Drosophila melanogaster: one gene and its partner. Changing the gene in region 2 together with the main gene of any one other region gives a genetic interaction. Each region holds a gene or a part of one and is shown on either strand. Other genes may lie near its edges. The genes, in order: S and rho-4.

What was found.
Region 1: of rho-4 (region 2) and S, changing one enhances a phenotype caused by changing the other (phenotypic enhancement), as found in Drosophila melanogaster (one study listed by BioGRID).

Annotation. Positions count from the first base shown.
Region 1 is NT_033779.5:1,069,690-1,084,913, forward strand, and holds the start of S (star), read right to left. Parts: upstream 8,127-15,224; 5' UTR 7,146-8,126; intron 1-7,145. Other genes in the region: ast (asteroid), read left to right, coding at 8,346-8,879, 8,936-9,376, 9,432-11,021; Atg4a (Autophagy-related 4a), read left to right, coding at 11,555-11,738, 11,889-12,231, 12,288-12,367, 12,431-12,976, 13,100-13,182; CG4629 (uncharacterized protein), read right to left, coding at 14,330-15,147, 15,205-15,224.
Region 2 is NC_004354.4:11,591,481-11,609,812, forward strand, and holds rho-4 (rhomboid-4), read left to right. Parts: upstream 1-8,357; 5' UTR 8,358-8,606; coding exon 8,607-8,846; intron 8,847-11,762; exon of another isoform or gene 11,763-11,856; coding exon of another isoform or gene 11,857-12,399; exon of another isoform or gene 12,400-12,414; intron 12,415-12,594; exon of another isoform or gene 12,595-12,714; intron 12,715-12,831; coding exon 12,832-13,193; intron 13,194-13,255; coding exon 13,256-13,598; intron 13,599-13,657; coding exon 13,658-13,966; 3' UTR 13,967-14,808; downstream 14,809-18,332. Other genes in the region: CG2533 (uncharacterized protein), read right to left, coding at 11,857-12,399; CG2247 (uncharacterized protein), read right to left, coding at 15,303-16,475, 16,534-16,672, 16,754-17,019, 17,073-17,160, 17,223-17,827, 17,922-18,233.

The DNA of each region.
Region 1 (15,224 bases), on a different chromosome or scaffold from region 2:
AATATCATTGGTAACTTTATTTAAATTATTATTTGAAGCAAGATTCAAATTCAGTATCACCACTGTGCCGCCAAAAACGAGGTGTGTGACCTTTTTCCGCGCTTTTGGCGTTGCTGTAACTCGACTTTTCTTCGTCTTTTTCAGTTTTTTAGGTTGACGTGTGCGAAGCATTAAGTAAAAGCATCAACAACAAAGCGACTATGAAATTCGCATAAAAGTCTGGGAAAAGTAAAACGGTTTACGTGCGGATTACAAAAGAGCGATGGCTGGGCGGACGGGAAGCGAAGCTAAATAAGCCGGGCAAAATCAAATAAAACAAAACTCCATTTTCGCAACCCGCTCGTAATCCATATACATAAAGTAATATACTACTTGTGTAGTGGGAAATCGGCAGGGGCACGTGCGTTCAAGGCGTTCAACTTTGGTCAAGCGACGGAGTGGGTTGGCGGTAATTAGTGGAGCCAATGACAGGTGCCTCGGGCGGTGTCTGCCACCGGGTGGCACCTTAATTCGCCAAAAATGATGGATTTGCCTTATCAATGTTTGGCTCGTGTGTGAGACGTAGCAGGATAATGGTTGATGTGGGTCCGAGCCTGTGGCGCATTGAACCCAGACGATGGGGCGTGCACAGAAGGGAGGAACTGGGTTCCGCGGAAGGGGCACTGGAGCGGAGTGTAGCCAAGCGGTGCATGTGCAGCGGCTTGTTGCAGGCGGCAGCAGGAAGCCAACAAATTACGGCCGAGCCACTCATCATCAGGTGGTGCGACACGTCGACTGATTGAGTGCACAGAAAAAAAAAGAAAATAACATATTTCAAATATTTTAAGATAACAATAAAATTTATTTGCCTTTTCTGATTGAACAACTTGTATTGCAACCTCGTATGCAACCTATTGCATTAACCTCGTATCTTTAACTTTACAAATCCCTCGATATTATTCTCAGTGCACTAGCGAGCAGAACAAGAACTAAGAGACGAGTTAGCTTCGGTTGGCGGTAATTTAGTTCAACTGCCAGCCATGACACATTTTTACGGGCCTTTCTGGAGCGAAACTGACTGGCTGCATAATTGAAATTGAAGTTGAGGCAGCAAAATGGCGACGACTCTTTTAATTGAACTTAAACTGTACTAACGGCACATTTCCCAGCCTAAAACACTTTTCCAACTAACTTTGGGCACATTTAAATGTCGTTTGTGCCGCGTCATTGTCGTATTTATGTGATTGGAGGCGAGTTCTGTTCGGTTATCTTGCCTGGAACTTGATTTTGGGGGCCCCTCCCCAACTCTTAAGAAGTTGTTAAAGTTTTACCACCGCCAACCGAGAAGAGCGGGGAAAGAAGAGTATAATAACAACCATGACAAAACTGGGAAAACTTTGAAACTGTCTTCGCGAACAGTGGCTTCTGTACATTTCAATCTAGGGGGTGTTCCTCCATCTCCAGCGGGAGTACAAAACTTCGAACTGTGAAAATAGCAGTGCATTTTGTTTATCTTACCCCTGATCTTACCCCACCGCCTACGCCACTGTTCCCAGCTTTTATTTTCGTTGTGCTGAAGACTTCTTCCGACTTTATTTCGCCCGGTATCCGTATCATTTCCTACACAACACACCTTCGCCATCCATCCATCCAACCAACCATCCATCTCTGGTTCTTCTTGGTTATTTTTTCCGTTTTCTGTTTTGTTTTTGTTTTTGTTTTGGCAGCCACAACTTCTTTGGCTTTGCCATTGAGCGAAAGACAGAAGAAACAGCCTTTGCTGTGTTGTGGTCTAGAAAAAACTTGTAACCACAAAAGTTTGTATTTCAAAGCAACCACACTGTGATTCTTCTTCGTCCACCTCTTGCTCTTCGTCTTCCTCTTCTTCTGCCTCTTGGTCGCTTTATTTGTTGTTGTTTTGGGGACGGCGACACTTGGATATCTCTTTTTTTGGTCGGATTTCTGTATCTGTGCGGTTCATTGTTATAATTATGGGAATTATTATTGTGGTTTTCACTCGGCTTTACCTTTTTCAAAGAGGGAACTGAGAACTGAGAAATGAGAACTGGTTTTTTAAAGCCCCGAGAATAACCAGCACTTTGATGTAATCGATAAGAAAAGTGTCTGGGAATCCTAAGGCTGTACTGTCTGCTTTTATCTCTTTACCCCAAAATGCCGAGACAATTCCAGAAGTCGGGCAGAGATGCTCATCAGCAAATTGCGAATTAATTTGTGTATAGCCCATTGAAATTAGTTGTTTATTGAAGGCGGCGAAGATCCCGGCCAGAAGTTGTTTACACCTCGCGGAGGATGAAGAGCCAAAATAGATGGAAATGGTTTGTGTTATAAGCCCCCACAACAGGTAACGCTGATAGATCGGGGCAATGCTAAACACAAATCAAAGCTAATATTCTTTATGGACTTCTCGGAAACAATCTTATCGCGACTAACGAGTTGGGCCAACAAGCCAAGTGCTGCAGTTGCAAGATTGTGGCTTGTGGATAGCAGTGCCCGTAGATACAGGGCTCACAACTCCAGTTCCCACACTTCATAAAGTTCGCTAAGTGAATCATTAAACAAATTACAAATTAGTACGCCAGTTATAAATAGCGGCAGAATAATACGCAAGTAAATAGCCCGATCTATGGGGTACATAGGGCTAGGCTAGGGGTATGTTTGTACGCATAACAAGGGGCACCGAAACCGAAGCACCTACAAAGTAGGTAAACACGCTGTATATGTCCATCAATGTTGTGTAAATATTGGCGCAGTGAGTTAGTGTAGGTGGCTATGAAAAGCTGCACCACCCACAGGCATTCGGTCGGGATCCACGTCCATGTAGTTGGGACCCCTCGGCGATCGCCGGGTTAGTCAGCTGTTTGCGCTGGATAACGATATGATGAGTGGGATCTATTCCGCTGAATGTGGATTCCGCAGGTTAATAATGCCAGCTCAGCTCTATTTTAGGGGAGAATTTTATAAATATTTCATAGAATGCGTAAGGTTTGTAAGAAGTTTCGGCATTGATCATTTTCCATTTACCAGATGCCAGACCTTAAGTTCTGGAAATTTTCCAGGTCGATGATGAAAAGCATTACGAGCCGTTAATCGTACTAAGAATCACTTAATCCATAAAGCAATTTTGCCACTAAAATTTAATGAGGTAAAATCCCTTCAAAAAGATTCACTGATTATCATTAACTATATTATCACCTGACGTCACAGACCACAAGACCACCAACCGCAAAAAGGCGAAAAAGTAGACCGCATTCGATCTTAAGTTCATAACACCATTCCCATTCATTATTTCATTCATGAATGTGGCTCGATTTATTTCGAATTGGCTGCATTGGCGTAGGCAAATCAAAACAATGCTCCGAATACCTTTGTAAAGCAGATCGATGCGATCCATTAACAGGGCTATTTGTATAAATTTATTGCATTTATGGAAATTGTTTAGCGAAAAGTGAATTTTCCAATGAAACTGGCCAAACAGAAGACAGACAAGTAAATAAATGCCAAACGGATTTCGCTCAGACACATTGTGTCGCTATAGACGCAGCTATAGAGAGGCCAATAGATGATCTTGGCAATGATATATGGGCTATATATGTATGTAGATATGTATGTATGGGCACCTCTCCCTCCAACTGAATGCTCGAAATTATTAATTGAGAAAATGTGTAGAACAGTCGGCACATATGTATGTACATACATATGTACTTGCGCATCCGAGGTATTCGGGAGCAAATTTCACAACTCGAGAAAAGAAAAGATAATGACTCAACTCAATCCGAGCTGCCTACTTTCAATATTTTGTGTTGACGCCAGCGAGAAATTTAGCCCACAAATAGCATCCAATTGACAACAGTAAAACATGGCCAAATATGTACCAAGCCGGCCAATGACGTAAGCGCCCCACGGTAGCTGCATAAATGGCAAAAACTAGCGAACACAAGAGGCAAAAGCGTTGCATCGAATGCGGATTACCCTCGACACTGATATGACTGATGTGTTTGCAATGACTGATGTTTCCAAATGATGATACAATGAATATGAGTGATTACTTCTTTGGAACTGTAATTATCAATTTAAGCAGCTTTCAAGACTTTTAATGAGGTTTATAGCCATAATTGTAAATAACCACAGAAAACCATTTGCAATTATTGTTGAGTCTGACAAAACGAAGCAACCCACTGTAGGGTATCCAAAGCCGTTGCAAAATGAACATGGGTCTTGATTTATTAGCAACAGACAAGGACGGACATAGAGTCGCGAAATTACAACGTAAGACGATGGCGCACTCGCACCCACATACACGTGATAAAAAAAACCGTATTCATTCACAGAACAGTGAAATTGGGTGTCATTTTGGGATCGATTCAGATTTCAGATATCTGCTGGTGTGGATGAATCAATTAAATGGCAAAAGAGCGAGCCAACTTGGTTGACCAAACTTGGACAAAAGGAGTGGCCAGCTAACGGATATGAAAGAATGGGCCGAAAGCGAATTTAGTCATCTAGTTGTGCATGAATCAATCACAGATTGTGCCATTCATTCACTTCGAGCCTCACTCACACATGTCACTCACAACTTCGAGCTCCGTTTTTTGCCCATTGAGTGGGAGATCGATGCAAAATTGCCACTGCACTGCTCACTCCTCTGCGATTCGTACTACTGGCCTATTAGTTTCTTTTCGCTCCTACTCTCCCCCTCTCGCTCGCTCCCAATTGCACGTGTTGGGACCGCTGCAGCAAAACAACAACAAAGGAATCGACGCCGACAGCGGATTTTGTTGGATTTTATTTTTGGGTCTTGGGGCTTCTCCGCTTTTTATATTCTTCTTTATGTCTTTCCGATTTTGGAGGTAGCTCGCCATGTGAAAGGAAATAATTACTTTATTTGTTGATTCTGTGTGTGTGTGTGTGTATGCGTACAGTAGGGCTCGGAATAATAGAGTAGTTACAAATATTGCTGTTATCTAAAAATACAGTTGGTCAGAATATTTTGTATTTTTCAGTTGCGAATAAACACAGTACATTATCATTTGATCCTATGAAAACTACATTTCGTTAAGATCCTACTATATATTTTTGTACGAAACAGTCCTACTTTTTTGGCCGCCTCTGTTTCGCCTATTATGAATGTGCGAGCAAGATTGTTGTTATGGCCCCGTGTTGCCTTTCGGTTGATTTGGCTGCCTCTTTTCCTCTGTTGCCAGCTGGGCTGCATTTCAAACCATTTGGAAATTCGAAATTGTTTGCAAGCTTTTATTGGCCAATGCTGCTGCTTTTTCTTCTTCTTATTATTATTGGCCCCCGCCCCCGCGCTTTTCTAAACAATAATTAACAGTAAATGAAAGCGGGCAGGAAACGCGAGAGGCCTGTGGAGGCTTGTAGGTCAAGAAGCATTAGATGGGCAAAGGTATAGGCCATTAGCCATTATTTCCTAGTCGCTGTTATTATTCTGGCCACTGTTGCAATGGCTCCATCTAACGGTGCCTTCTTGCCTGCCGCATAATGACGCCTAATTGGCCAGGCAGAGATCAGGAATCTCAGAAATCAGAGATCGCCAATTGAGAAAGTGAGATCAGTGACAAATTACGCGGGCAATTTAAGCGCAGCTTTAAGCGGGCACATCCGCTTTGCACATACGCGCAGTGCAGAACATTAGACAAATTTGCACATTTAATCAAAGACAATTGTTTAATTGGTCAATTGCGGCAAGTAACTGGAGTACCAGCCGGGAAATGGGAACGGGGCAAGTGCGAAAAACAAGATAGTGCAGGATGAGACTCCTACACGCAGCACATGTGACATTAGAAACAGTTCTAACAAATATCTTAATTGCTATCAAATTTTATGCCGCCAGAAAACCTCGATTCCACTCAGTTTCAGTTGGGTTAGAGGCAACACAACTGGGGGAAGTTCGAGACCGCTCTTTATCGGGCCTCTCTATTTACGTTTCCAGAGTGGGACGGCAATAGCCGTGGCAAGACAATCATCAAGTGCGACTCTTGCTGGTGTTTTCGCTGTGGCCCCTGCACTTCCTACTAGGAAATTCCCCAGAACTCGGAATTATATGCAGCAGCAGCGCTGGCAAGTGTCATTTGAGACCAAGCACAAAGAGACACACAGCAGCTGCTCCCCAGTGGACTTGTGTGTGTGCCGGAGAGTGGATTTTATTTGAAATTCAAACTCTTTTTATGGTGCCCACTGATTACAGGGTATGCGAGGGTAGTATGCACTTGTGTAAGGAAGTGAGCAATGCTGTTCTAAGGATTGAGACTAACCAAATCTCGCTTTGGAATATTTCCTTTTCAGAAATGCCCTACAAACAGTTTATTAAGAGGTATCAACTGGTCGAACCGCTATGAACTTCACTTCCTCCCCGGATTACCAGTAAAAATCGTTAAAATCGCAGTCGCAACAGCTGTAGGAAAACTATAAACCACATTGGGAAATGCGTTTGGGATGGGGTGAATATGGATGGCTACGCCTTTTGCGGCTCTCTAAGCCCTGGGATGAACTTTTGTGCTCGATTTCCAGTTGCCAAAAAGCGCCGGAAATTGCTGGCAACTGTCGGTGGTCGCCAGATCGTCGGCATATATGCAATGTCTGCAGCAAAGCCCCCTTTTTCATATGGAAAATGAACCTGATTCTCGAGCACAGCGGCGAAAATTACATAATCGCCGGGCAAATGGGAGCACAGTCATATCGAAATTGTGCCAAATTGCAACTGCAGATGATAATAACGATAATTTATTTCTCCCCCAGTGAGATGTTTCTATTATACGAGCAATTTTCTGGAATCAGCGGGTGCCTAATTTCGCCCGATTTTCTCTGTTTCAGCAGCCAGGGAAAACATTTCAATTCTTCTATTTTTTCTGGTTTTTTCGGCCCACCAACAGAGGTTTTCTCTAGTTTATCGGCTTTCCCGAGGGTTTTTCCTCTTTCCGCTACCTGCGAATACCTGCCCCGAAAAAAAGAGGCGTGGGAATCGCCGAACATACAGGAGGTGCAGAGTTGGGAAATCGGAAAAAATTGCAATTGCAGGACGTGTGAAAATGTGCGGAAGACAGGAAACGTGGGCCAAGACCACTCGCAGATTTCCCGGAACGGCCTTGGCCAATGGGAAAGGGATTTTTCCCTGATTTTGAACTCACCTTTTTCGGCAAAGAGGGAAGTTATATATGTTTCGTATCCGTAAAACGAAGCTCCCAAGACACCAGAAGAACTCTGCACACACGCACTTGCTTTTGAACCGTCTTTTTTTTTCAACTCTAGGACGAATTATCGCACGGTTGATTTACGTTTTTTGCTGGTTTGGCTTAACAATTTCCTTTTGGAACATTTATTTGCACACAATTATTTATTAAATGCCGCACACACACACACAGGTGATTGGTGATCGATGATGGGCCGTGTGTGGTTGTGTTGTTTACGTACGTGTGTGTGTGCGTAGAGCACGCCTCGCACACACTGACAAAAATTCATTCACGACACGGTGATCACGATCGTCGCTCTCGCTCGCTCACTCATGGTGTTTTTGTGTGGAAAATCCAAGAGAAAAATAATACTATGTGAAGCGCAGACGAAAGACGCACAAAGCTGAGTTATTAACGTGTGTTATTGTTGTTGTTGTTTCTCGTTGCTACTGGATGTTTTCTGCTGCTGTCGCCTTGTATTTACTTAATTTCATATGCATATTTCGCCCATGGTTTTCTTTTTTCCGCTGCTTTTCCTTCTACCTGTGCTTTAGTTAAACGAACACACAAAAACAACACACACGCACGCACACCACACTCCGCGCACACACACACGCACGCACGAAACGAGAGACGCAAAGGTAAAGTGGTAAAGTGTGTGCAAGAAAAGCGACAAGAAACGGAACGGAACCAACGGAACCCGTATATATGCACGCGCTCTTCGATTCAATGGCGATTTCGGTTTCCACTGCACTCGCTGTGTTTGTGCTAGTACATTTCCCAGTTTCCTTTAGATTTTCGGTACAAGTGTTGCTATTGCTGGCGAATTTTTCTCCTGGCCACCGCGTAGCACTCGCGACGTTACGATTTTTCGACGTTTGATGCGCGGGTGGAGAGCAGACAAGCGTCGGGTTGGAATTGTCGGGACAGAGTGTGACCGCGGCGCCATCCCCGGAATATACCATCCGGCTGCGGGAAATACCCTAGATACCAAACTAATCGCTCATATATACCAAACGGCAGCGAACGGCCACGCTAAAGAATCGATATGTACATCGATAGTATCGCACTGCAAACTGACATCACTATTAGCACGCTTTTAAAGTTTGTGCAAAATAGGTAAATAGAAAATTGGGAAAATAGGCAAGCGCCGGGAAAATGGGAGTCCGCGGCCTGACCAGTTACATAGCGCAGCGCGCGGAGATCTACCTTAAGCCGCACGAGCTGCACTCCACGGCGCTGGTCATCGATGGCGACAACTTGAGCTGCAATCTGTACAAGGATGTCACCGGGAGCTACTCCGCCTTCGGCGGCGACTACGACGACTTCTACCGCGCCGTGGTGCAGTTCTTCCAGGTTCTGGCCGAGTGCAACATTCGGCCCTATGTGCTCATGGACGGCGGGTACGAGGAGCGCAAGCTGAGGACCGTTAGCACCCGGCTGCGCAACAAGATTTCCGTGATCAAGAAGATAAACCCCAATGCATCCATCACGCTGTTCCCGCTGCACCTCAAGGAGGTTTTCGTGGACGCTGTGCGCGACTGCGGAGTCCCGGTGATGAGGTGCGTCTTTGAGGCGGACGACGAGTTGGCTGCTCTGGCCAGGAAACTTAACTGCCCAGTGCTCTCCTACGACTCGGATTTCTACATCCACAACGTCAAGTACATCCCGCTGATCACGCTGACTGTTAAGGTAAGGCATAAGTTATTTGGATTCCAGCATATACTAAGCGATTCCATGTACCCCAGGTTCTCACCAAGCAGGTGAAGGACAAGAACAGCAGCAACCAGAAGGACAGTCGAGATCTACGTCACTGCGAGGCCAAGAATGTGAAGAAGCGCACCAGGGCCAACAAGATTGTGACTGGCATTCAAACCACAGGGCTGACAGCCAGTACAAAAGGCAGTTCCAAGACCTACAAGTACCTCGACTGCTGCATCTACCGGGTGTCCCATCTCTGCGGACGAGGAACTCTGAGTCCCGAGAAGCTACCCCTTTTTGCCGCCCTCCTGGGCAATGACTATATTGCCCGCAGTGCCTTCAAGAACTTTTTTGCTGCGGGAATGGGCAAAGCAGGACGAAGTCGCAAACTAAAGCTCCAGCAGAAGCGCATACAGGTCATCCTCACATGGCTGAAGGAGGAAACGGCGGAATCTGCTCTGGCTAAAGTGCTGTCGAGACTGAAAAAGGTTCGTTGCTTGAGATATCTTTTTCCGATTTATGCTAAAAATAATATTCTTGCAGAACCAGCGTGATTCCCTGGTCTCCCAAGTGAATGCAGCCATCTCTGGTTACTCCAACGAGTTGTGCCACGCCTACGATTACTTCGATGAGCACTACGAGAATGCTTTTCCTTATATAGAACCCGTCAGTGAAGAGGAATGCAGCGACGATGAACATTCGTCTAGCTCCGATGAAAAATTTTCAGATGTCGAAGAAGGCGAGGATCAGGAGGAAGCTGATAACCAAGATGAGGAGCAGCAGGAAGAAAATCAAGACGTTGATTCGGGTGATGAAGAAGAAGAGGAGGCGGATGAAGGCCTCGAGCTGGAAGTGGAAGACAAAACGCTACTCTTCCCACAATGGTTTCTGGACAAACTATATCCCGCGCACCTGCCCCGCAGCTTCGTGGACCTTATGCACCTGCGCAAGTACATCAACAACCCACAGATCGAGCACTTTCCCTTCCACGACTCCAATGAAGTGGCCTTACCCATCCTGAACTACGTGTTCGCTCTTCTCCATCACGTAGAGTGTGAGAAAATTGAGCTACCATTAGAAGTGGATATGGATATAGAGGGTTCGACAGTCCCCTATCTCACCTACCTCACCAGAGCTCTGCGAGTGACGAACGTGAGGTATTTCAAGATGCCCATTGAAAAGAAGCCTGCCTATCCGTTTGATCCTCTTTCGCCGGATGCTAGGCATTTAAGAGCTGTATTCGAAGACAATGCTCCCAATGCGGATACGGAGAAGTTGTTCAGCAAGCTCGACCAGTTGCCGGAGGACCTGAGGCTGTACTTTCTGGCCATTATCTACTGGTTACATCGCTCGGAGCACTGTGATTTGCTGCATCTTCACTCGCTGATCCTTAGTTTGGTTGTCCTACGAACCATAGATGTTACAATCCCTGCTGAACGAGAGGTGAAAACCTTCCTTAAAAGATTTGGCAAGACATTGAAAGCAGAGCGAGCAGTGAGGGATAAGGAAGCTGCCGAGGGAATTAAGCGCGGCATCAAACCTGCTCTGCTAGAGCTTTCTGTTCCAGATCGGATGGCTCATGTACCCAAATCGGACTGCTATTTAACTCAGGAACGCCTACTGCCGCACTTCCATATGCAGGAGATCTTCAAAAAGAAGTTTGACTTGTACTCCACCACGGTTATCCACGCATTTGCTGAATTTCAGGCTGTGGTTTACCAACTCAATGGGCTAAATTCTCTTTTGGATTTTCCACTTTTGAGTCCGAGGATGAACCAGCTTTATTGCGGCGCCTTTCTCTACAACATGTATGATGTACTGAGGAATCGTGCCGATGTCCGCTACCATGTTGAGAACTTCCTGCTGCCCGACTCCAAGTTGATGTTCGATTTCTATTGCTACTTGTACGACTGGTGCGCGGAGTTTATACCAACTTGGAAGCGATTGGAGGTGGATCCGACGGCGGCAAAGGCCCTGCAGAAGAAGCGATTGAAGAAGCAGCGTCAGGCGGCTAGGAAAGTGGAGCTAAGGGAGGCCATCGCGGATCCCAATGCGGAAATGGTCGAGGATGCCGATCCAGAAAACGACTTCTTCGATCTGAACAACAAATTCTGCGCACTCAAGGTAGCGTAGCTAGTTTGAAGTCCCGCACGTGCAATTTTGAAGTTTTTACATTGTTACAAATCTATACTTTGCGTAAAATAAGAAAAAAATTAAATATTTTTTAAAAAACTTCATTTTTGAATGCATTTCATTAACAGTTTGGAAAAATACTGTTATTTCCTATGTTATGGTCATGTTAAGTGCAAGGTTCGGTATTTTGGCAAAGTAAAATACCTTATCAGTTGCGGTCATACTAACAGCTACGTCACTGCGTTGTAATCAACAAAAAAGAAAAATAAATCAAACTAAACCAGCCGCAGACTGATCAAATGCTGGTTATCGCATAGTTTGTAATCAGCGCCCGTCACTGCCAACAACAAATGAAACCCCTGTGACCTCGGGCCAGAAGCAGGAGCATTGCCGTTGCTGCCAGCGAAAACACAGGCCAAAACAAAGGCCCACCCGAAAAACAGAACGTCATTCGAAGGCAATTATCGTATAGACGAGCAGCGGAGGCCCTGGTGTCCACCCCCTTCTCCTTCTGCCAGCGCACCGGGCAGTAGATGCTGGTTGGACTCAGCGACCAGCTAGCGCGGATCATGGAGAGCGTCTTCGAGGCGTACTTGGGCCCAGACAGCGTCCTCGCTAGTGCAGTTGGCCAGGCGGTGGGCAGCGGAGAGCCGGAGGACATTCCCCGAAGAAACACCGACGTCTGGGTCCTGGGAAAGAAGTACAACGCCATACAGGGTAAGATGAGACCTTATTTAATGCTGTCATATGGGTACAAATCTAGCATATTGGTCAGCATGAGTCATAAGGGGTTTCCCAAACCTTTTTTCGATTATCATCGATGGATACCAAACTGAAATCCATAATCAACACCCTATCCCTTTTCAGAGCTAGAGCTCATCCGACGGGACATTCAGTCGCGCCTGTGGTGCACATATCGCCATGGATTTTCGCCGTTGGGAGAAGTCCAGCTCACCACGGACAAGGGCTGGGGCTGCATGCTGCGCTGTGGTCAGATGGTTCTCGCCCAGGCCCTGATCGACTTACATTTGGGACGCGACTGGTTCTGGACGCCGGACTGCCGTGATGCCACCTACCTCAAGATCGTGAACCGTTTTGAAGACGTAAGGAATAGCTTCTACTCCATACACCAGATTGCCCAGATGGGAGAGTCCCAGAACAAAGCGGTCGGCGAGTGGCTGGGACCGAATACAGTAGCCCAGATTCTCAAGTAAGACCATTGGCCTAACATGGTGGATAAGTGGTATAATCAATTGCTGATTTCAGAAAACTAGTGCGCTTCGATGACTGGAGCTCCCTGGCGATTCACGTGGCCATGGATAGCACAGTGGTATTGGATGACGTATGTAAGTGTGGAAAATGGCCTAAATAGCCCGACTATTTGCCTAACAACATTGTCCACTTTGTAGATGCGTCGTGCCGAGAAGGAGGCTCGTGGAAGCCACTGCTGCTCATAATCCCCCTGCGCCTGGGCATCACAGACATTAACCCGCTTTACGTGCCTGCCTTAAAGCGCTGCCTTGAACTAGACAGCAGTTGTGGCATGATCGGAGGTCGACCAAACCAGGCTCTGTACTTCCTGGGCTATGTGGACGATGAGGTTCTCTACCTAGATCCTCATACCACGCAGAGAACGGGCGCCGTGGCACAGAAAACTGCTGCGGCAGAACAGGACTACGACGAGACCTACCATCAAAAGCATGCTGCTCGCCTGAACTTCTCCGCCATGGACCCCTCGCTGGCGGTTTGTTTCCTCTGCAAGACCAGTGATAGTTTCGAGTCCCTGTTAACCAAGTTGAAGGAGGAGGTGCTCAGCCTCTGCTCGCCTGCGCTCTTCGAGATCAGTCAAACCCGCGCGGTCGATTGGGACACCACGGAGGACATCGACTGGCCCACCATGCCGGACATCGATTGGCCTGCGGGCACCTCGGATTCGGACTCTTTTGCCATAGTTGGTAAGTTGGTTCTGTTGAAGCTGACCATTAAGACCATTATTTATAACTTCACAGCTTGTAATCTGAATCAACAGTCCGAAATTTCACTCCGATTTCACTCAATAAATTCACTCCATTTTCCAGAAGAGAGCGGCAGGGACAGCGACGCCGGCTGTAGCGGCGCCATTGGCAGCGGCAAAAAGCCCAGTGAGAGAGCCGTCATTTGAGAGGTCGCCGGCGGAGCGCCTGCGCCTGCGCCGCACCAGAGCAGATGAAGCCCAGCCAGGCGAAAGTGGAGCACCCAATGAGGAGAAAGAGAGTGGGCCGGGAGGTCGAGCCCCTGCGGATGCTGCGAATGCAATAAACTAAGGCTAAAGTGCATAATTAGACGAGTGGTTGAGATTTAGATTTTAGTATGTTTACGATTTGTACGAATGCGGTTCTTAGCGATTCATAATGCTGCTTTATTGTACGCGATTGACTCCACGGGAGACAATTTGGCAAAACACACACACACAGAGCGACACTTACGGACACATACCGCTTTTTGATGATCAATTAAACATTTTTATGCAACGTTGTACATTGAAGACTCGATGAGATCGAGGCAATCGCCTTAGCCCGGTGTGTATTTATATGTTTGTAATCGTAATATTCATTTTCCTTTCGTATATTCGTCTGTATATGCTCAAAAATGGACCAACAACTAAATACATAATACTTGGACTATATGTATATATCTATATATGTATATATATATGTATGTATGTATATATCAACTTTGCCATCCGCCTCTGGACTCAACGGCTGGACAAACTCAAGCTACACGAACCAAGGAACTTTCTCGAATGAGTAACCAGGATGAGGATGCAGGAATCTACGTTAACAACAAACACGCGGCTACGCAGCTGGCGAATTGACACTAATTGGGCTTGACCTTTGGCCTTCCGGGCTGATTCCCGCAGAAAGGCAAACTGGGATTTGCAGATCAGAGTATCCAACTGTCTCCTACTATCGGAAGATAATCCTTTCTATTCATATTCAAGCGACTTATGTTTCTTGCGCTTCGAATGCATTTAACTTTTGCAATTCATCCATCCTAATTCTCGATATTCTGGTTAAATTCTATGTTGTATTCACTATAAAATTTTCTAATCTCAATTTGTTGGTTCAAAATCAAGCACTGGATATTTAAAGCTGATCGAAACGGACTAGCCTCTAGTAGGAAAGGTTTTTGAGCTACTATTTGAGTTCCTTGAACCTTAGATTCCTTTCAAAAGCGACACACCCAGTTTGCCTTTCCTCTCGGGGAACTCAAAGACCCAGCGGAACCAGGAGAGTAATATGAACATTCAACAACTATTTTCGGATGTCTTAGAGTATGCAGCACGACCTCTCAATCCGCTTCTCCACCTTGGGCTCGCTGTGCAGTGCCATCTCCACGTGCTTTCGTGCCAGCCAGGACTGCTTCTGCAACCGATTGACCACGATCCTGTAGGCGCCAATGATGTCGGAGCGCGGCCCGCTCTGCCTGGCGTTGATCAGCATCTCGGAGGTGAGGCCCAGCTCGGCCAGGATCTGGCGTGCCTCGAACTCCAGGGCACCTAGCTGGCTCAGATCCTCGGTGTTCGTGGGCAGCATGACGCAGCTGCCCGTCTCCGCGTCGTAGTTCTTGAACAGGGGGCAATCCTCGGCCACCTCCACATTCCACGGATTGATCTTGGCCGAACCGATTGACTGTCCACCGTTGGCCAGCTGCTTCTCCGGTTCCGTTTCCATGGGCGTGACCTTCTTCTTCAGGCTGCCGCAGAACATGTACCTTCTGGTTGGACGCTTCGCCTGCTCGGTGGACTGTGGCTCCTTCAGCTGACTTGACACCGGGACCAACAGTTCGTGTCCCATCTCGATCGGTTGCAGGAAGTTCTGCACAAACATCTCGTCCTGCTGCCTGGTGTTCATGCTAATGGCCGGCTTCTTGACCACCTCCGCGTATCGATCCCGTAGTGAGGCGGACTTCCGCAGCCGATGCGACTTGCTGCGCACCCAGAAGATGGACCTCTTGACCGGCTTGGTGTGCTGGTTGATCTCCCACTGCATCAGATCGGCACTGAGCTTGGGACAGGTCACGAACTGGCTGTTCAGCATGTCGTCGATGGTTGGCCGCTGGGCGGGTATATGAATCAAGATGCGTTCTAACGAAGATATTAGGTTAAAGCAGTTTTTTTATTATTTAATATTTATCCACTCACGTATAAGTCTTATGCAGGGC
Region 2 (18,332 bases):
TTGGTGCGAGAAGACGGTTGGTGTTGTTATTTTTTTTTTAGTTCGCTCCGCTGTTTTTAGGTGCTACGCGCTTTATGGCCCGCTCTTAATCTTATCGCAAATCAAATCAAACCGCGGCCAATGAGCACCGTAATTTCACTTTTTGGCTAACGGTAACGGCACTTCCGCTCTCCGAATTCGATATTCAAACAGTCGCATTCCATCGAAAAGCGAAACAAGAAGTGGCCGTAAAAATGACCGTGAAAACAGTGAATCGCCAGCAGAGCCAAACGCCCACCCAACAACGGCAATTGCATCAGCAGCGGGACGTCGAGAATGGGCTCTATCCCACGATTTCGGACGGAATATGCCACATTATTATCGGATAGAATACAGGAAATGTAGGATTTAGGTAAGGGAATAATAAATTTCTAGTAGTTTTCAAGTCATTTTGGAGAGCACATAGTGGTTAATTCATGCACCATATTAATGCATGGGAAATTGGCGAAAAACAAACACTCAGCCGGCACTTCGCGGCACTCACACCTACACAATCATACGTGCGTGTGAATGAAGTTGCTTGTGCTTGTGGTGGTCTGCCCTGTTGCCGTCTTCTTCTCACCCTCGGTGAAAGTTGAGTTCAATGAATCATCTGAGCATCGATCCGCTATGGCGGCGATCTTCACTCTTCGCACTCACTCAACAGGGGGATTCTATCTACGAATCCATCAGTTTCGGCCGCTTCGATTCTAGTTTAGTTAGCACTCTCTTCTGGTTGATTTGGGCAGATTCATATATATATATGTATATAGGTATGTATGATCATACGATTAGCATACGAGATAAGCTGCCAATCCAATCCAAACACAAGGCGCTGGAAATCGGCATTCCATACACATTCCTACTCTCTTTTGGCTGGAAATCTTATCCGATTTCCCTCGCTTCAAACATCAAAATACTCTGTTTGGGTTTCCCGAGCGTTGATTCATTAATCTAGCCATGATATAACAACCAAAATAATATCAAGCTATAGAATATATTTTTTAAAGAAAAAAAATCAGTCTGCGGGCATCCAGTTCTCAGCGAGAACTTAGCGGCATCCAGCTAATGGAGGAGACAGTAGTGGCTTCGCCACAGCAGCCATGCCTTCGTCGTTCCGTACGTCTAGCGGGTAGGATGCGTTCGCAGAACTATAGAGCCATTCCCAAGGTTATGAATTTGCGGCGCAGCACGCGGCTGGCGGGAATCCGGGAACATGCCACCTCCGTTGTTGTGGAAAACGGGACGCGCCTTCAAAGTGCAGTCCAAAAGAAACGCACGCGAAAAGTGAAACCTGCGCCCAAGGCCTGGATGGCCAATAATACTAAATGTTTACTGGGCCATCTTAACAATGGAAACGTTAAGCAATTGCAGGAGATTCCAGGGATCGGTTCAAAGACCGCCTCTATTTTGGCCGTGCACAGGTCAGTTGACATACGTTCATTTGCGTTTTACCCAATAACCCTTAATCCTTAATCCACATTTTTCAGATCCCGCCTGGGTTGCTTCAAGAATCTAATTGAAGTCAAATCCCTGCCCATTTGGTCGGGAAATAAATGGAAACGATTTTCTCAAATTAACTGTCTTGACACTTGATACAATTACTAATTAAATAGCATTTTAATTCGAATATAGTATAGTGATTGTTATTTATGTGGCATATACTTTGATTTTACAACTATAGTAGGAGTAAAAAAAAAGGAGCCGGATATCCTTAAAGAAACAGTTATATATGTGATTTATTTTTTAAATAGGCTTACCTAGGATATATTATATAATATATTAAATTAACAAAACAAGTTGGCATTTTAAATTAAAGCACAAATTGATTGTTATAAAAGTATTAAACAAAAAAAACTAGTCAAAAAAGAAAAACTTTCAAATAAATGACTTATTAAAAGTGACCAAATAAATAATATTCATTAACTTTTTTTTTCAAATTTAACTCCCTTTCAGCGTTGCCAGATTGGGTTGCATGCGGGATTTGATTATTTTTATTCACAAATTCTGGGTAGAGGGCCACTTGTGCTGCTCCGGCAGCTGGTCACACTGTACAGTCGCGCAGTTTGGTTTCTTTGGTGCGAGAAGACGGTTGGTGTTGTTATTTTTTTTTTAGTTCGCTCCGCTGTTTTTAGGTGCTACGCGCTTTATGGCCCGCTCTTAATCTTATCGCAAATCAAATCAAACCGCGGCCAATGAGCACCGTAATTTCACTTTTTGGCTAACGGTAACGGCACTTCCGCTCTCCGAATTCGATATTCAAACAGTCGCATTCCATCGAAAAGCGAAACAAGAAGTGGCCGTAAAAATGACCGTGAAAACAGTGAATCGCCAGCAGAGCCAAACGCCCACCCAGCAACGGCAATTGCATCAGCAGCGGGACGTCGAGAATGGGCTCTATCCCACGATTTCGGACGGAATATGCCACATTATTATCGGATAGAATACAGGAAATGTAGGATTTAGGTAAGGGAATAATAAATTTCTAGTAGTTTTCAAGTCATTTTGGAGAGCACATAGTGGTTAATTCATGCACCATATTAATGCATGGGAAATTGGCGAAAAACAAACACTCAGCCGGCACTTCGCGGCACTCACACCTACACAATCATACGTGCGTGTGAATGAAGTTGCTTGTGCTTGTGGTGGTCTGCCCTGTTGCCGTCTTCTTCTCACCCTCGGTGAAAGTTGAGTTCGATGAATCATCTGAGCATCGATCCGCTATGGCGGCGATCTTCACTCTTCGCACTCACTCAACAGGGGGATTCTATCTACGAATCCATCAGTTTCGGCCGCTTCGATTCTAGTTTAGTTAGCACTCTCTTCTGGTTGATTTGGGCAGATTCATATATATATATGTATATAGGTATGTATGATCATACGATTAGCATACGAGATAAGCTGCCAATCCAATCCAAACACAAGGCGCTGGAAATCGGCATTCCATACACATTCCTACTCTCTTTTGGCTGGAAATCTTATCCGATTTCCCTCGCTTCAAACATCAAAATACTCTGTTTGGGTTTCCCGAGCGTTGATTCATTAATCTAGCCATGATATAACAACCAAAATAATATCAAGCTATAGAATATATTTTTTAAAGAAAAAAAATCAGTCTGCGGGCATCCAGTTCTCAGCGAGAACTTAGCGGCATCCAGCTAATGGAGGAGACAGTAGTGGCTTCGCCACAGCAGCCATGCCTTCGTCGTTCCGTACGTCTAGCGGGTAGGATGCGTTCGCAGAACTATAGAGCCATTCCCAAGGTTATGAATTTGCGGCGCAGCACGCGGCTGGCGGGAATCCGGGAACATGCCACCTCCGTTGTTGTGGAAAACGGGACGCGCCTTCAAAGTGCAGTCCAAAAGAAACGCACGCGAAAAGTGAAACCTGCGCCCAAGGCCTGGATGGCCAATAATACTAAATGTTTACTGGGCCATCTTAACAATGGAAACGTTAAGCAATTGCAGGAGATTCCAGGGATCGGTTCAAAGACCGCCTCTATTTTGGCCGTGCACAGGTCAGTTGACATACGTTCATTTGCGTTTTACCCAATAACCCTTAATCCTTAATCCACATTTTTCAGATCCCGCCTGGGTTGCTTCAAGAATCTAATTGAAGTCAAATCCCTGCCCATTTGGTCGGGAAATAAATGGAAACGATTTTCTCAAATTAACTGTCTTGACACTTGATACAATTACTAATTAAATAGCATTTTAATTCGAATATAGTATAGTGATTGTTATTTATGTGGCATATACTTTGATTTTACAACTATAGTAGGAGTAAAAAAAAAGGAGCCGGATATCCTTAAAGAAACAGTTATATATGTGATTTATTTTTTAAATAGGCTTACCTAGGATATATTATATAATATATTAAATTAACAAAACAAGTTGGCATTTTAAATTAAAGCACAAATTGATTGTTATAAAAGTATTAAACAAAAAAAACTAGTCAAAAAAGAAAAACTTTCAAATAAATGACTTATTAAAAGTGACCAAATAAATAATATTCATTAACTTTTTTTTTCAAATTTAACTCCCTTTCAGCGTTGCCAGATTGGGTTGCATGCGGGATTTGATTATTTTTATTCACAAATTCTGGGTAGAGGGCCACTTGTGCTGCTCCGGCAGCTGGTCACACTGTACAGTCGCGCAGTTTGGTTTCTTTGGTGCGAGAAGACGGTTGGTGTTGTTATTTTTTTTTTAGTTCGCTCCGCTGTTTTTAGGTGCTACGCGCTTTATGGCCCGCTCTTAATCTTATCGCAAATCAAATCAAACCGCGGCCAATGAGCACCGTAATTTCACTTTTTGGCTAACGGTAACGGCACTTCCGCTCTCCGAATTCGATATTCAAACAGTCGCATTCCATCGAAAAGCGAAACAAGAAGTGGCCGTAAAAATGACCGTGAAAACAGTGAATCGCCAGCAGAGCCAAACGCCCACCCAACAACGGCAATTGCATCAGCAGCGGGACGTCGAGAATGGGCTCTATCCCACGATTTCGGACGGAATATGCCACATTATTATCGGATAGAATACAGGAAATGTAGGATTTAGGTAAGGGAATAATAAATTTCTAGTAGTTTTCAAGTCATTTTGGAGAGCACATAGTGGTTAATTCATGTACCATATTAATGCATGGGAAATTGGCGAAAAACAAACACTCAGCCGGCACTTCGCGGCACTCACACCTACACAATCATACGTGCGTGTGAATGAAGTTGCTTGTGCTTGTGGTGGTCTGCCCTGTTGCCGTCTTCTTCTCACCCTCGGTGAAAGTTGAGTTCGATGAATCATCTGAGCATCGATCCGCTATGGCGGCGATCTTCACTCTTCGCACTCACTCAACAGGGGGATTCTATCTACGAATCCATCAGTTTCGGCCGCTTCGATTCTAGTTTAGTTAGCACTCTCTTCTGGTTGATTTGGGCAGATTCATATATATATATGTATATAGGTATGTATGATCATACGATTAGCATACGAGATAAGCTGCCAATCCAATCCAAACACAAGGCGCTGGAAATCGGCATTCCATACACATTCCTACTCTCTTTTGGCTGGAAATCTTATCCGATTTCCCTCGCTTCAAACATCAAAATACTCTGTTTGGGTTTCCCGAGCGTTGATTCATTAATCTAGCCATGATATAACAACCAAAATAATATCAAGCTATAGAATATATTTTTTAAAGAAAAAAAATCAGTCTGCGGGCATCCAGTTCTCAGCGAGAACTTAGCGGCATCCAGCTAATGGAGGAGACAGTAGTGGCTTCGCCACAGCAGCCATGCCTTCGTCGTTCCGTACGTCTAGCGGGTAGGATGCGTTCGCAGAACTATAGAGCCATTCCCAAGGTTATGAATTTGCGGCGCAGCACGCGGCTGGCGGGAATCCGGGAACATGCCACCTCCGTTGTTGTGGAAAACGGGACGCGCCTTCAAAGTGCAGTCCAAAAGAAACGCACGCGAAAAGTGAAACCTGCGCCCAAGGCCTGGATGGCCAATAATACTAAATGTTTACTGGGCCATCTTAACAATGGAAACGTTAAGCAATTGCAGGAGATTCCAGGGATCGGTTCAAAGACCGCCTCTATTTTGGCCTTGCACAGGTCAGTTGACATACGTTCATTTGCGTTTTACCCAATAACCCTTAATCCTTAATCCACATTTTTCAGATCCCGCCTGGGTTGCTTCAAGAATCTAATTGAAGTCAAATCCCTGCCCATTTGGTCGGGAAATAAATGGAAACGATTTTCTCAAATTAACTGTCTTGACACTTGATACAATTACTAATTAAATAGCATTTTAATTCGAATATAGTATAGTGATTGTTATTTATGTGGCATATACTTTGATTTTACAACTATAGTAGGAGTAAAAAAAAAGGAGCCGGATATCCTTAAAGAAACAGTTATATATGTGATTTATTTTTTAAATAGGCTTACCTAGGATATATTATATAATATATTAAATTAACAAAACAAGTTGGCATTTTAAATTAAAGCACAAATTGATTGTTATAAAAGTATTAAACAAAAAAAACTAGTCAAAAAAGAAAAACTTTCAAATAAATGACTTATTAAAAGTGACCAAATAAATAATATTCATTAACTTTTTTTTTCAAATTTAACTCCCTTTCAGCGTTGCCAGATTGGGTTGCATGCGGGATTTGATTATTTTTATTCACAAATTCTGGGTAGAGGGCCACTTGTGCTGCTCCGGCAGCTGGTCACACTGTACAGTCGCGCAGTTTGGTTTCTTTGGTGCGAGAAGACGGTTGGTGTTGTTATTTTTTTTTTAGTTCGCTCCGCTGTTTTTAGGTGCTACGCGCTTTATGGCCCGCTCTTAATCTTATCGCAAATCAAATCAAACCGCGGCCAATGAGCACCGTAATTTCACTTTTTGGCTAACGGTAACGGCACTTCCGCTCTCCGAATTCGATATTCAAACAGTCGCATTCCATCGAAAAGCGAAACAAGAAGTGGCCGTAAAAATGACCGTGAAAACAGTGAATCGCCAGCAGAGCCAAACGCCCACCCAGCAACGGCAATTGCATCAGCAGCGGGACGTCGAGAATGGGCTCTATCCCACGATTTCGGACGGAATATGCCACATTATTATCGGATAGAATACAGGAAATGTAGGATTTAGGTAAGGGAATAATAAATTTCTAGTAGTTTTCAAGTCATTTTGGAGAGCACATAGTGGTTAATTCATGCACCATATTAATGCATGGGAAATTGGCGAAAAACAAACACTCAGCCGGCACTTCGCGGCACTCACACCTACACAATCATACGTGCGTGTGAATGAAGTTGCTTGTGCTTGTGGTGGTCTGCCCTGTTGCCGTCTTCTTCTCACCCTCGGTGAAAGTTGAGTTCAATGAATCATCTGAGCATCGATCCGCTATGGCGGCGATCTTCACTCTTCGCACTCACTCAACAGGGGGATTCTATCTACGAATCCATCAGTTTCGGCCGCTTCGATTCTAGTTTAGTTAGCACTCTCTTCTGGTTGATTTGGGCAGATTCATATATATATATGTATATAGGTATGTATGATCATACGATTAGCATACGAGATAAGCTGCCAATCCAATCCAAACACAAGGCGCTGGAAATCGGCATTCCATACACATTCCTACTCTCTTTTGGCTGGAAATCTTATCCGATTTCCCTCGCTTCAAACATCAAAATACTCTGTTTGGGTTTCCCGAGCGTTGATTCATTAATCTAGCCATGATATAACAACCAAAATAATATCAAGCTATAGAATATATTTTTTAAAGAAAAAAAATCAGTCTGCGGGCATCCAGTTCTCAGCGAGAACTTAGCGGCATCCAGCTAATGGAGGAGACAGTAGTGGCTTCGCCACAGCAGCCATGCCTTCGTCGTTCCGTACGTCTAGCGGGTAGGATGCGTTCGCAGAACTATAGAGCCATTCCCAAGGTTATGAATTTGCGGCGCAGCACGCGGCTGGCGGGAATCCGGGAACATGCCACCTCCGTTGTTGTGGAAAACGGGACGCGCCTTCAAAGTGCAGTCCAAAAGAAACGCACGCGAAAAGTGAAACCTGCGCCCAAGGCCTGGATGGCCAATAATACTAAATGTTTACTGGGCCATCTTAACAATGGAAACGTTAAGCAATTGCAGGAGATTCCAGGGATCGGTTCAAAGACCGCCTCTATTTTGGCCGTGCACAGGTCAGTTGACATACGTTCATTTGCGTTTTACCCAATAACCCTTAATCCTTAATCCACATTTTTCAGATCCCGCCTGGGTTGCTTCAAGAATCTAATTGAAGTCAAATCCCTGCCCATTTGGTCGGGAAATAAATGGAAACGATTTTCTCAAATTAACTGTCTTGACACTTGATACAATTACTAATTAAATAGCATTTTAATTCGAATATAGTATAGTGATTGTTATTTATGTGGCATATACTTTGATTTTACAACTATAGTAGGAGTAAAAAAAAAGGAGCCGGATATCCTTAAAGAAACAGTTATATATGTGATTTATTTTTTAAATAGGCTTACCTAGGATATATTATATAATATATTAAATTAACAAAACAAGTTGGCATTTTAAATTAAAGCACAAATTGATTGTTATAAAAGTATTAAACAAAAAAAACTAGTCAAAAAAGAAAAACTTTCAAATAAATGACTTATTAAAAGTGACCAAATAAATAATATTCATTAACTTTTTTTTTCAAATTTAACTCCCTTTCAGCGTTGCCAGATTGGGTTGCATGCGGGATTTGATTATTTTTATGCACAAATTCTGGGTAGAGAGCCACTTGTGCTGCTCCGGCAGCTGGTCACACTGTACAGTCGCGCAGTTTGGTTTCTTTGGTGCGAGAAGACGGTTGGTGTTGTTATTTTTTTTTTTAGTTCGCTCCGCTGTTTTTAGGTGCTACGCGCTTTATGGCCCGCTCTTAATCTTATCGCAAATCAAATCAAACCGCGGCCAATGAGCACCGTAATTTCACTTTTTGGCTAACGGTAACGGCACTTCCGCTCTCCGAATTCGATATTCAAACAGTCGCATTCCATCGAAAAGCGAAACAAGAAGTGGCCGCAAAAATGCCCGTGAAAACAGTGAATCGCCAGCAGAGCCAAACGCCCGCCCAACAACTGCAATTGCAGCAGCAGCGGGACGTCGAGAATGGGCTCTATCCCACGATTCCGGCCGAGCGACGATCGCCCCCCTCGCGTCCGCAAACGCTGCGACAGGACACCATCGATATGGAGGAAATACCGCTCAATCAGACGAACAGCCAGGAGCCAGAGGATCGGCGCAAAATGCACGAGATATTTGACAAGGTATGTAGGACTTATAATACTCGCAATTCCCTTCCCCAGCACAAGTGGCAGCTCCTCCTAAGTATTAGATCTTTTCTGGTTTGTAGAGCCAGCTAACCAAGTAGTAGCCATGGTAACTATACCTATAAAGGTATTACTGTTCACACGGTGTTACAACTTAGCACTATATCTTTAAAGTAAATCTATGATGATTTAACGTTGATTTAATAGTTATGCCACATTATTATCGGATAGAATACAGGAAATGTAGGATTTAGGTAAGGGAATAATAAATTTCTATTAGTTTTCAAGTCATTTTGGAGAGCACATAGTGGTTAATTCATTAGTTAGAACCAGCTACGACTAATTATCCCATTTAAACTGGCTGGTGGTAGGCAACAGAAGGTTAATGCTGAGATCTTGTGAAATTGCACCATATTAATGCATGGGAAATTCGCGAAAAACAGAAGAACGACTGTAATTAAAACACACAGCCGGCACTTCGCGGCACTCACACACACACACTCATACGTGCGTGTGAATGAAGTTGCTTGTGCTTGTGTGGTCGGCCCTGTTGCCGTCTTCTTCTCACCCTCGGTGAAAGTTGAGTTCGATGAATCATCTGAGCATCGATCCGCTATGGCGGCGCTCTTCACTCTTCGCACTCTCCCAAGAAAACCCCACCTTTAACCCTTCAATGGGCCGGCGGGCGAAAACCGACACGATCAGATGCTTTTGTTTGCAAACATGCCAGTGGAACAAACTTAAGGTATACATTATTAAAAAAAAACCTTGTATCTTGTGGTGATTAATAAATACGTGAGATTTGATTCCCGTTTAACATTAATGGGTTAAGAATTCGATTATAGTGCCTAAATAATCAACTGCTATATGTACTTATATCATACAAGCATAATTACACTTTTCGGTGTATTTAACCCATCACCGCTTGTCTGTCAGTCAATTTTGCACTTTCGCAGAATTCCGTATCACATTTTATAAGCTTTTTTTCGCTGCAGTTTGTTTTCTTAAAGTAGAAAAATCGTGTGTGCTGCAAAAAAAAATGGGGGGGAGGGTGGTTGCCTACTGTTGGGGGACTGAGTTTTCTTATCGTGACAGAGGGTTGGGGGAAAAAGACCAGCAAAAAAAGAAGAAGAAAAACCGGTTATAAATTATTGTTTGTTCGCTTTGAGTTCTGCCTTTGTTGTTGTTGTTGCTCTTGCTTTATTCTTGGTGGCGTTAGTCACTTAACCCCCAACTGACACCCACCGCCCACCTGTTTGCCCGAGTGTTACCATTATCAATTTAACAATTTGTGGATTTCGTCTTTTTTAATTCTACCAGTGCGATTGCCTCAACGTGCAACGTCCTCTTGATTCACCATTTGTTTATAGCCATATAGAGTGTGTAGCGTTCATATCGCGTTCAATGTACCCCGGCAACAAGGGGATTCTATCTACGAATCCATCAGTTTTGGCCGCTTCGATTCCAGTTTAGTTAGCACTCTCTCCTGGTTGATTTGGACAGATACGTATATATGTATGTATATAGGTATTCTAACCATACGATTAGCATACAAGATGAGCTGCCAATCCAATCCAAACACATTCGATGCCGCTGGAAATCGGCATTCCAGACACATTCCTATTCTCTTTTGGCTGGAAATCTTATCTGAATTCCCTCGCTACAAACATTCAAGTGGCCAAAATACTCTGCTTGGGTTTTCCGAGCGTTGATTCAATAATCTAGCCATGATATAACAACCAAAATAATAGCAAGCTATAGAACATATTTTGTCAAAAAAAAAAAAATCACCAATCTCAACCAACATTATTCGTTGGAAAGTTCAACTTGAACCCGGAGGGGACTGTATCATTTTGATATTTTTGAAATATCATGTTTGATATGTCACAGATAACAGTCTTTCTGATATGGGAAAATAGCAGATAGATGACCATTTTCGTTGATATTTTTATTCATTGAGCTGTGCAAAAGAGTAAATCTTAAGTTGTCTGTTGGCTAATATAGGAAAGTTTTGGAACTTCAGGTGTTCCAATGGTTTTACAATTAACTTTTTCCGAAAACCATATTTTTTACAAACTGACCAAGTGGCTTTCGTGTGTTCCGAACACACTTGACGACTATGACTAAGTCCCAATCCCCGCGAGACTCCGTTACCGCTGGCAGCTTATCGCCTGGTTTTGATAATAACCAACTTTTTGGTTTTGTTTTTTCCCCCTGTTCTGTTTTATTTTAAGAACACCTAAAGGTGTAAAATATTAGTTTACGACTGGAAAGGAGGATACATATTTATGTGCATGTACATACATGGGCACCTATCTAATTGTCTATAGTATATGCCAATGTCTTTCCTCTTTTTTTTTGCGTGAATCTAACTTTTAAGTGCGAGCGTTGACTTTTCGCTGGGTTTTCTTTGTTATCCCAGTTCCTAGTTATTTACTTTACTAAATACCTTAACCATACTTAAAAGGTCAGTGCGCATAGCTTACCTATGACAAATGTTTTTTATGATCGAAAACCGAGAATACAAAGCGATAAGACAGTAACATCCATATAGGGACTTTCTATTGGCGAAATGGCAATTGAGAATTTCGAACTTCTGAAAGGAATAGGTGACAAATGTTTTTTTTTTAGCAAAATCCTTTTGTATTTACCAATGGGGATTATTGACGTTTTGCAAAAACCATCAGTTGCGTTTAGTTCACAATAACTTTGGATGCCTTTGTGCAACTTCATGTGACTTTGTTTCGATTTGTTTTCGATTAGCCCCGTTTTGGATTTCTAGTTTCTCGTCTCGATCTGTGGCATTTATTCCTGCCCATTTATGGCCACTTTTTGGTCCGACAGCGTTCGCGGCTGTGTTGCAAGTGCTGATGGTGATGCAATCAAAAAGGAGGAAAATCACTCAACAAACATAATAATATGTGGGTACTTGTTTATTTGTGAACTCATGCTGCAGGTTTGAGTGTGTTACGCTATGATTTAGAATAGTTCCTCGGGTGAATGAGATTCATTCGGAGTCTAAGGGAAGGTCAAAGAAAGTGGAATTTTGGCTCTTGGGGGCGAGGCAACTGGTGGCCTGCTCCTCCTCTGGCGCATCCACAGCATCGTGCCAATCCTGGGAATCGTGCTCCTCCTGCTCCTTCTGATCCGTTAGCTGGAGCAGACGCATCCGCAAGCGCTGCTCTTCCAGTTGAATGACTGAAGGCCTAGGAGCAGCCACTTCGCGAATAAGCGATGGCATGGCGGTCGTCCAGTTTGGCAGCAGAGTTAACCCCGTTGCCCTGCCCTGCCGCTCCAGACGCTGCAACTGGCGGCGCTCCATGGCCATCAGTTCCCGCTTGGCCCGGGCCCGCACCTGGTCGTCGCTGGTCGTGGTGCAGAGACTCAGGGCCGCAAAGATGCCGGCCATGCCCAGGTAGAGAACCAGTACGGTCACAATGCCGGACGATTCCTGCAGCGGCTCCTCCTCCTCCGCGACGTCGCATGTGGGCGTCGGTGTCCAGCCAAGCCAAGAGGTCACGTGGCGGGTCATCTCCATCAGTTGCGACATCGTTCTCGGTTGAATCTTGAGGCGAAGATACAAATATATATAATATATGTATGGTTTATACTAAATAATTATGTCATTAACCGATGACACCAAGCAAATGGTAGTTTCTTTACTTCCTTCTAGGGAAATGTATTCAGTAGTTTATTTTTATTACAGCCTAGTTTTAAAAGGTAGGATGAATGCGCTGATATGTACCCAATTGTAATCGGTGTTTCCAAGATGTTGTATTTCAAGATTTTTTGGATTCGGTGCGGGCCTGCCCGACCACTCGGAATTTCAGCTAGGTACTGAGTGTTCGAATCCCTAATGTTTTCGAACCCCCATGACGCTTTAGTATATGGCCTACTGTGTTTAAATGTTGACTTACCCAGATTCTATGTGTGAGCTTAATCATGATGACTAACCAACCATATGTATATGCCTCTCACACAGCACGACTCTGACAGAGATGGGCTGATCAACACGCACGAGCTGAAGGAACTGATCTCGGATGGCTATTGCCGGGACATTCCCGCCTACATCGCCGACCAGATCCTGAAGCGCAGCGATCAGGATAACGACGGCCACCTGGACTTCGAGGAATTCTATGCGATGTCCCTGCGCCACAAGTGGATGGTGCGCAACATGCTGACCCGCTACTGTCGCTACGTTGTGCCGCCACCGAAGCCCTTAGAGGGCGATGAGCCCGACGGTGCCTACGAGAAGCAAATGTCCATCTGCCCGCCGCCGCTCACCATGGTGCTCTTCTCGATTATCGAGATAATCATGTTCCTCGTGGACGTCATACATTTCCAGTGAGTAGTGATGGTACAATTGGTTGTATATGATAATAACACTAGTAATCTGCTATGTTCAGGGACGATCCCAACTACCAGGATCGCATAGGCGAGAGCACAAGTGGACCAGCGGCCACCCTGTTCATCTACAATCCGTACAAGCGCTATGAGGGATGGCGCTTTGTTAGCTACATGTTCGTTCACGTGGGCATCATGCATCTGATGATGAACCTGATTATCCAGATCTTTCTGGGCATCGCCCTGGAGCTGGTGCATCACTGGTGGCGCGTGGGTCTGGTCTACCTGGCTGGCGTGTTAGCCGGTTCCATGGGCACCTCGCTAACCAGTCCTCGCATCTTTCTAGCGGGCGCATCGGGTGGAGTATACGCACTGATCACAGCCCACATTGCCACGATAATTATGGTAAGTCTTTGTTATACTATTTGATATTATTCCATAATTACCTTATGGTCGCCAAACAGAACTACTCGGAAATGGAGTACGCCATTGTCCAGCTGCTGGCCTTTCTGGTCTTCTGCTTCACCGACTTGGGTACCTCGGTGTACCGCCACTTGACCGACCAGCACGATCAGATTGGCTATGTGGCGCATTTGTCCGGTGCCGTCGCCGGTTTGCTGGTGGGGATCGGTGTGCTGCGCAATTTGGAGGTGCGGCGATGGGAGCGCATTCTCTGGTGGGTCGCCGTCATCGTTTACTTTGCCCTCATGACCACTGGCATCATCATACACGTGTTTGTTCCCGACTACTTCCCAAAACAGGAGTACAACTAGCCCCATCACTAGCTCTAGCCCTAGCCCTAACCCTTAACCATGTCCAAAGTGCACTTCGATATTGAGCCGAGGTTGCAGTACGCACAGTACTATATATAGGATTTCTTCTGACCATGTGCCTATGCCAGCTGCAAAAATAATTTATTTTTTTACAACTTGCCATGTCAGCTTCATTCCCAATCCGAAAGTGGTGCAAGCATGTCGTACGTATTTTTATATATTTATATACATACATACATATATAGTAACGTAATTATGCCTTCCTCATAATTCTCTTATACAAAAGACCGACCGCGGTGGTCCGCCGTATCGATTCCTTGTTACTCGATATTGCGCATCCACTTAAGCCGTAACCAAAACCCAGACACTAGGCAGGCACATACATAGCCACGTAGCACATAAGAATTCTTTTTCATATGTATGCACAAAAGCATAAGCAAGAAGCGCTCTCGCGCAGATCAAGTAAACAACCCACTAACCAAGTACATTTAAGATTTTCTCACACCATTTGTTTCAGTCTTAAGCTGATATTCAATCAATAAAAACGCAAAGCGAATTCATTCGAAGTTTTTATTCATTTCGGTTCAAATACGGATCATTTATTCGACTCAAAAGCAAAAATTATTTTACTATATGTATTCTCGATCCACATGACGCGACGCGGCGCAACGAAATGTCGACGGAGAACAAAACTCAGAGCTGCATTTGTATTACACATTTCGTTGACATTTTTTTTTTTTCAAGAAAAACGAGAAATATCTTTAAACAAAGTGTACTGTATATTTTTGGAGATTTATTATTAAGATCTTATATATTTAAATGTAATAAAAACAATGTCTTTGTACGAAGAAGATGGGTGTTTTGCGTATGATTTTTATTTTTTTAATTGTGTCATTCATGTTCAAATGTAATGAGTACAACTTTGATCTTGCCTTCGTAGGACCAGCAAGACCAGGCAGAACTACTTACACGCAATCTTACATAAGTACTATATTTTTATAGTGAAATTTATAGTTCACTTCCCAAAACAGTGGTTTAAGTCGATTTAGTATGATCCAGCAATTAACCCATTTATTTATTATGTTTACATGTTTTTCTTTTCTGTTCATTACAAGCTGTCAATTTGTAAGCAGCGTCGCTTGATTGCATCGTTCACAGCTTGGGACAAAGTAATGTACTGAATGTCGTTCAAAGATATTGTTGAGAGTGTGTTTAAATGTGGTGTTCGGAGGTGATGCTTCTCGAGAAGACTCAGTCTTGGCATTCTCTGCTACTGGGAGGGCTTATATATGAGCTAACTTATGGCACCTAGGAATAACTAGTGCGTTAAACGTTCTTACTTGTTTTTCAACTGTGGCCGTTTGAGGAAGGTAACCATGGTGCTGTTGAACATGTTCACCTTAACAAACGTAACAAATGTTGTTGGTGCCACATCGCGCAGTATCATCAGCAAGCGCTTGGCGGGCAGAAAGGTAACGCATTCCGTGTGGTCCGTTTCAATGCAACGGTCATCGGGAGCACAATAATTAAGGTCATCGTCCAGCGGAATTCCCGGTACAGGGCGCTCCACGGGGATCACATCCTTCTTACTTCCCCTGTACAGCTCACCCGTTGCACTCAACAGCTGGGTAACCAATCCTAGGCGGAACACGCGAAGCTGCGAGGCATTCTCGCGAACGGCCCGCATTACGGAATAGATCACGTTGGCCGAATTTTGAAGACACTTTGGGACGAGCAACAGGTGCGTAACAGTGGTGCACATTCCAATCAACGAAGTTAGAAGGTCATCCACCTCGACGTTCACCAGCTCCAGTTGCTGTACCGAACAAGCAGCGGCTACACCACACATAATGTGGTACAGCGGAAAAGTGGTATTGATCATGTGCTTGTTCTCCAAGCGGAGCCTGCGTAGAGACGTTAAAAAGGGCAGCACTTGCTGGCCAAATTCCTCGGTATCCATGCCCTGGCATGAAGACAACACTAGCACCTTCAGGTTAACTAGTTTCTTCAAGAAGCGGAAGTCCTGCGAGCCTATATAATTCACTCCACGTATATTCAACTCAGTTAGATGCACCAGGTCGCCCAGAGAGTCTAGTGATTCCACTTTGCTTCTGTGGTCCGTCATTAAGATTTGAAGCACGCGAATCTTAGACCATTGTCGTGCCAAATTTAAAAAATTAAAAGTTGGACTGTAGCAGATTGCCCTTAGCTCCAGCAGTTGGGGCAATTCACGAAAGACCTTAAAGAGGAACTGGTCATCTACTGGACAAGTGCGAAGAACACGCAATGCTTTCAGGACGCTAATGTCGAGTGTAGCGAGAATATCCGGAGGATTCGGCAATATCACGCCCAGCATGTCCAGTTCGCGTGTGCAATTATTTGCGAGTTCACGGATAAATCGCGGCCAGTTGCTGATATGGGTATCGCGTAGCATGACTGTGCGCCATACACTCTTATCCTGACTGATCATGGCCCATGTTTTGCAAACCTGCGCCATATTTACACGATCCTATATGGGATGGGATGGGATTACGAACTTCAATTTTACGATGACCTAGACATTTTACCTTCATCGTCATGATTTTCATAACGGCCATCACTATCTGGCATCCGATGTGACAATCGCCCAGGCTCTGCACCAAACTGGAGCTACATTTGTCCTTTGAGATCTTTTTAAGGCCAGCCAAATTCTGCCGGTTTGGAATCCTGATAAGTTGAGGAAAAACATATAAATAACTGTGCGTTTCGTAGGTTTTTTGCGTTGGTCTTGGAACTAAACCGACTCACACTTTCAGATTGCAACCAATCGGATCGGCTATGATGGCTATAGCCTTGCGCCCTCCAATTACAACAACCTCTTGTTCCTTTATAACGGTCTGCTTATTCACGTTTTCTAACTGCTTTTTCTCCGCCTGTTGAACGGATATTTCATTTTCCAAAGTGACTTCTATCATGCTGAAGTCACTGTCATCGTCATCATCATAATGATCCTCATTTCCTCCAGTCTTTTTCATCCATTTCTTATTGGCATATCCCTTCTCATAGATACACTTCTGAAAGAGGATATTATAAGCCAGTGAATCTCCAATAGCATTTCGTAAATTACCTTGCACAACTTAGGTCCAGACGGATGAACAGAAGCCGCGCAGCGCACACAAGGCTTTGACTTATCAGGGGCTGCCTTTGCGTGAGCTCTGGACATGAAAATACCGAGTATATAGAGATTGATATGTGTATATATATACAATATATCTACCTGCGCCTGCGAATGTTGGTATTACCAATCGGTGAACCGCACGAGCTGCTGTTGGTGTAGTCTGCCCGAGAATTCCCCTTAACCGCCCTGGTCGAGGTCCAGCCCTCACTCGGTGGACTTGCCCCTTTGGGCACCTTGGGCTTCGACACTCGCTTTCCAGTGACCGTTAAGGCAGGCGTCTGGGGCATTACGTTGGACGGGTTGGCCAACCCAGCCTTGCCTTTCACCACCGCCCCTTGCTTCGCCACCGTTTTGCACTTCACAACCGCCACATGTTCCATCTCCGCCACCTTTGGGACCGGGCTACCATTGCTGCGAGGCCTGGGATTTTCGGAGCTGGGTATAAAGAGATCTCGCTCTACGCCAGTTTGCTTTAGGCGTTCGAAAATAACTTTCAAAGAGGTTTCGGTGGATGTTTCTTTCATTATGTTCGTCTCATCGGTCAGAGGCGTATGGCTACTGAAGCGCACTGAACGACGCGAATGCTCCGGAGGCGAATGGGTGGACATAGAACGTTTTACGATGCGAGCGTCCTTAAGTGATTTGTGCAAGGTATGATCAGCTTCCGCCTGCTTCTTGGTGGTATCCTCTTTTTTATCTTCAACCTATGGGGGAAGATACAAGAGGGAGAGAAGATCAATGGTTAGTAAATCTGTGAAATTTCCGACTCTTAGCATAAGATTTTTTAAGGGTCTCCACCTGGTTGTATAAGTCTGATGGTTGCATGTTGGTTGGTGTTGTACTGGACTTGGATGTTGTTGCAATACCAGTTGCATTTGGACTTTTTTTTGCGTTCAAAGGGCTTTTAATGGCTGCATCCAATTCCCCCTGGGAGGCGTCGAGTGGCGACGTCATTATCGGCGTTGTTAGAGACGGCTGCTGCTGCTGCTCCTCAGACTTATTAGTGATATGAGCCGGCTTTGTTGTACCTGCCGCTGTCTCCTCTTGTGGTTCCACTCTCGGAAAAACCTTTAGGCCACTCCATGGCAGTACACCTGGCTTGGCCGTCGACTATTGCCGTAGTGTGCATGTTGTGTATTGTTTGGTTGAGATTTGAGATAAGCACAGATACGATTTCGTGTTGAGAAATACAATAATATAGAACAAACA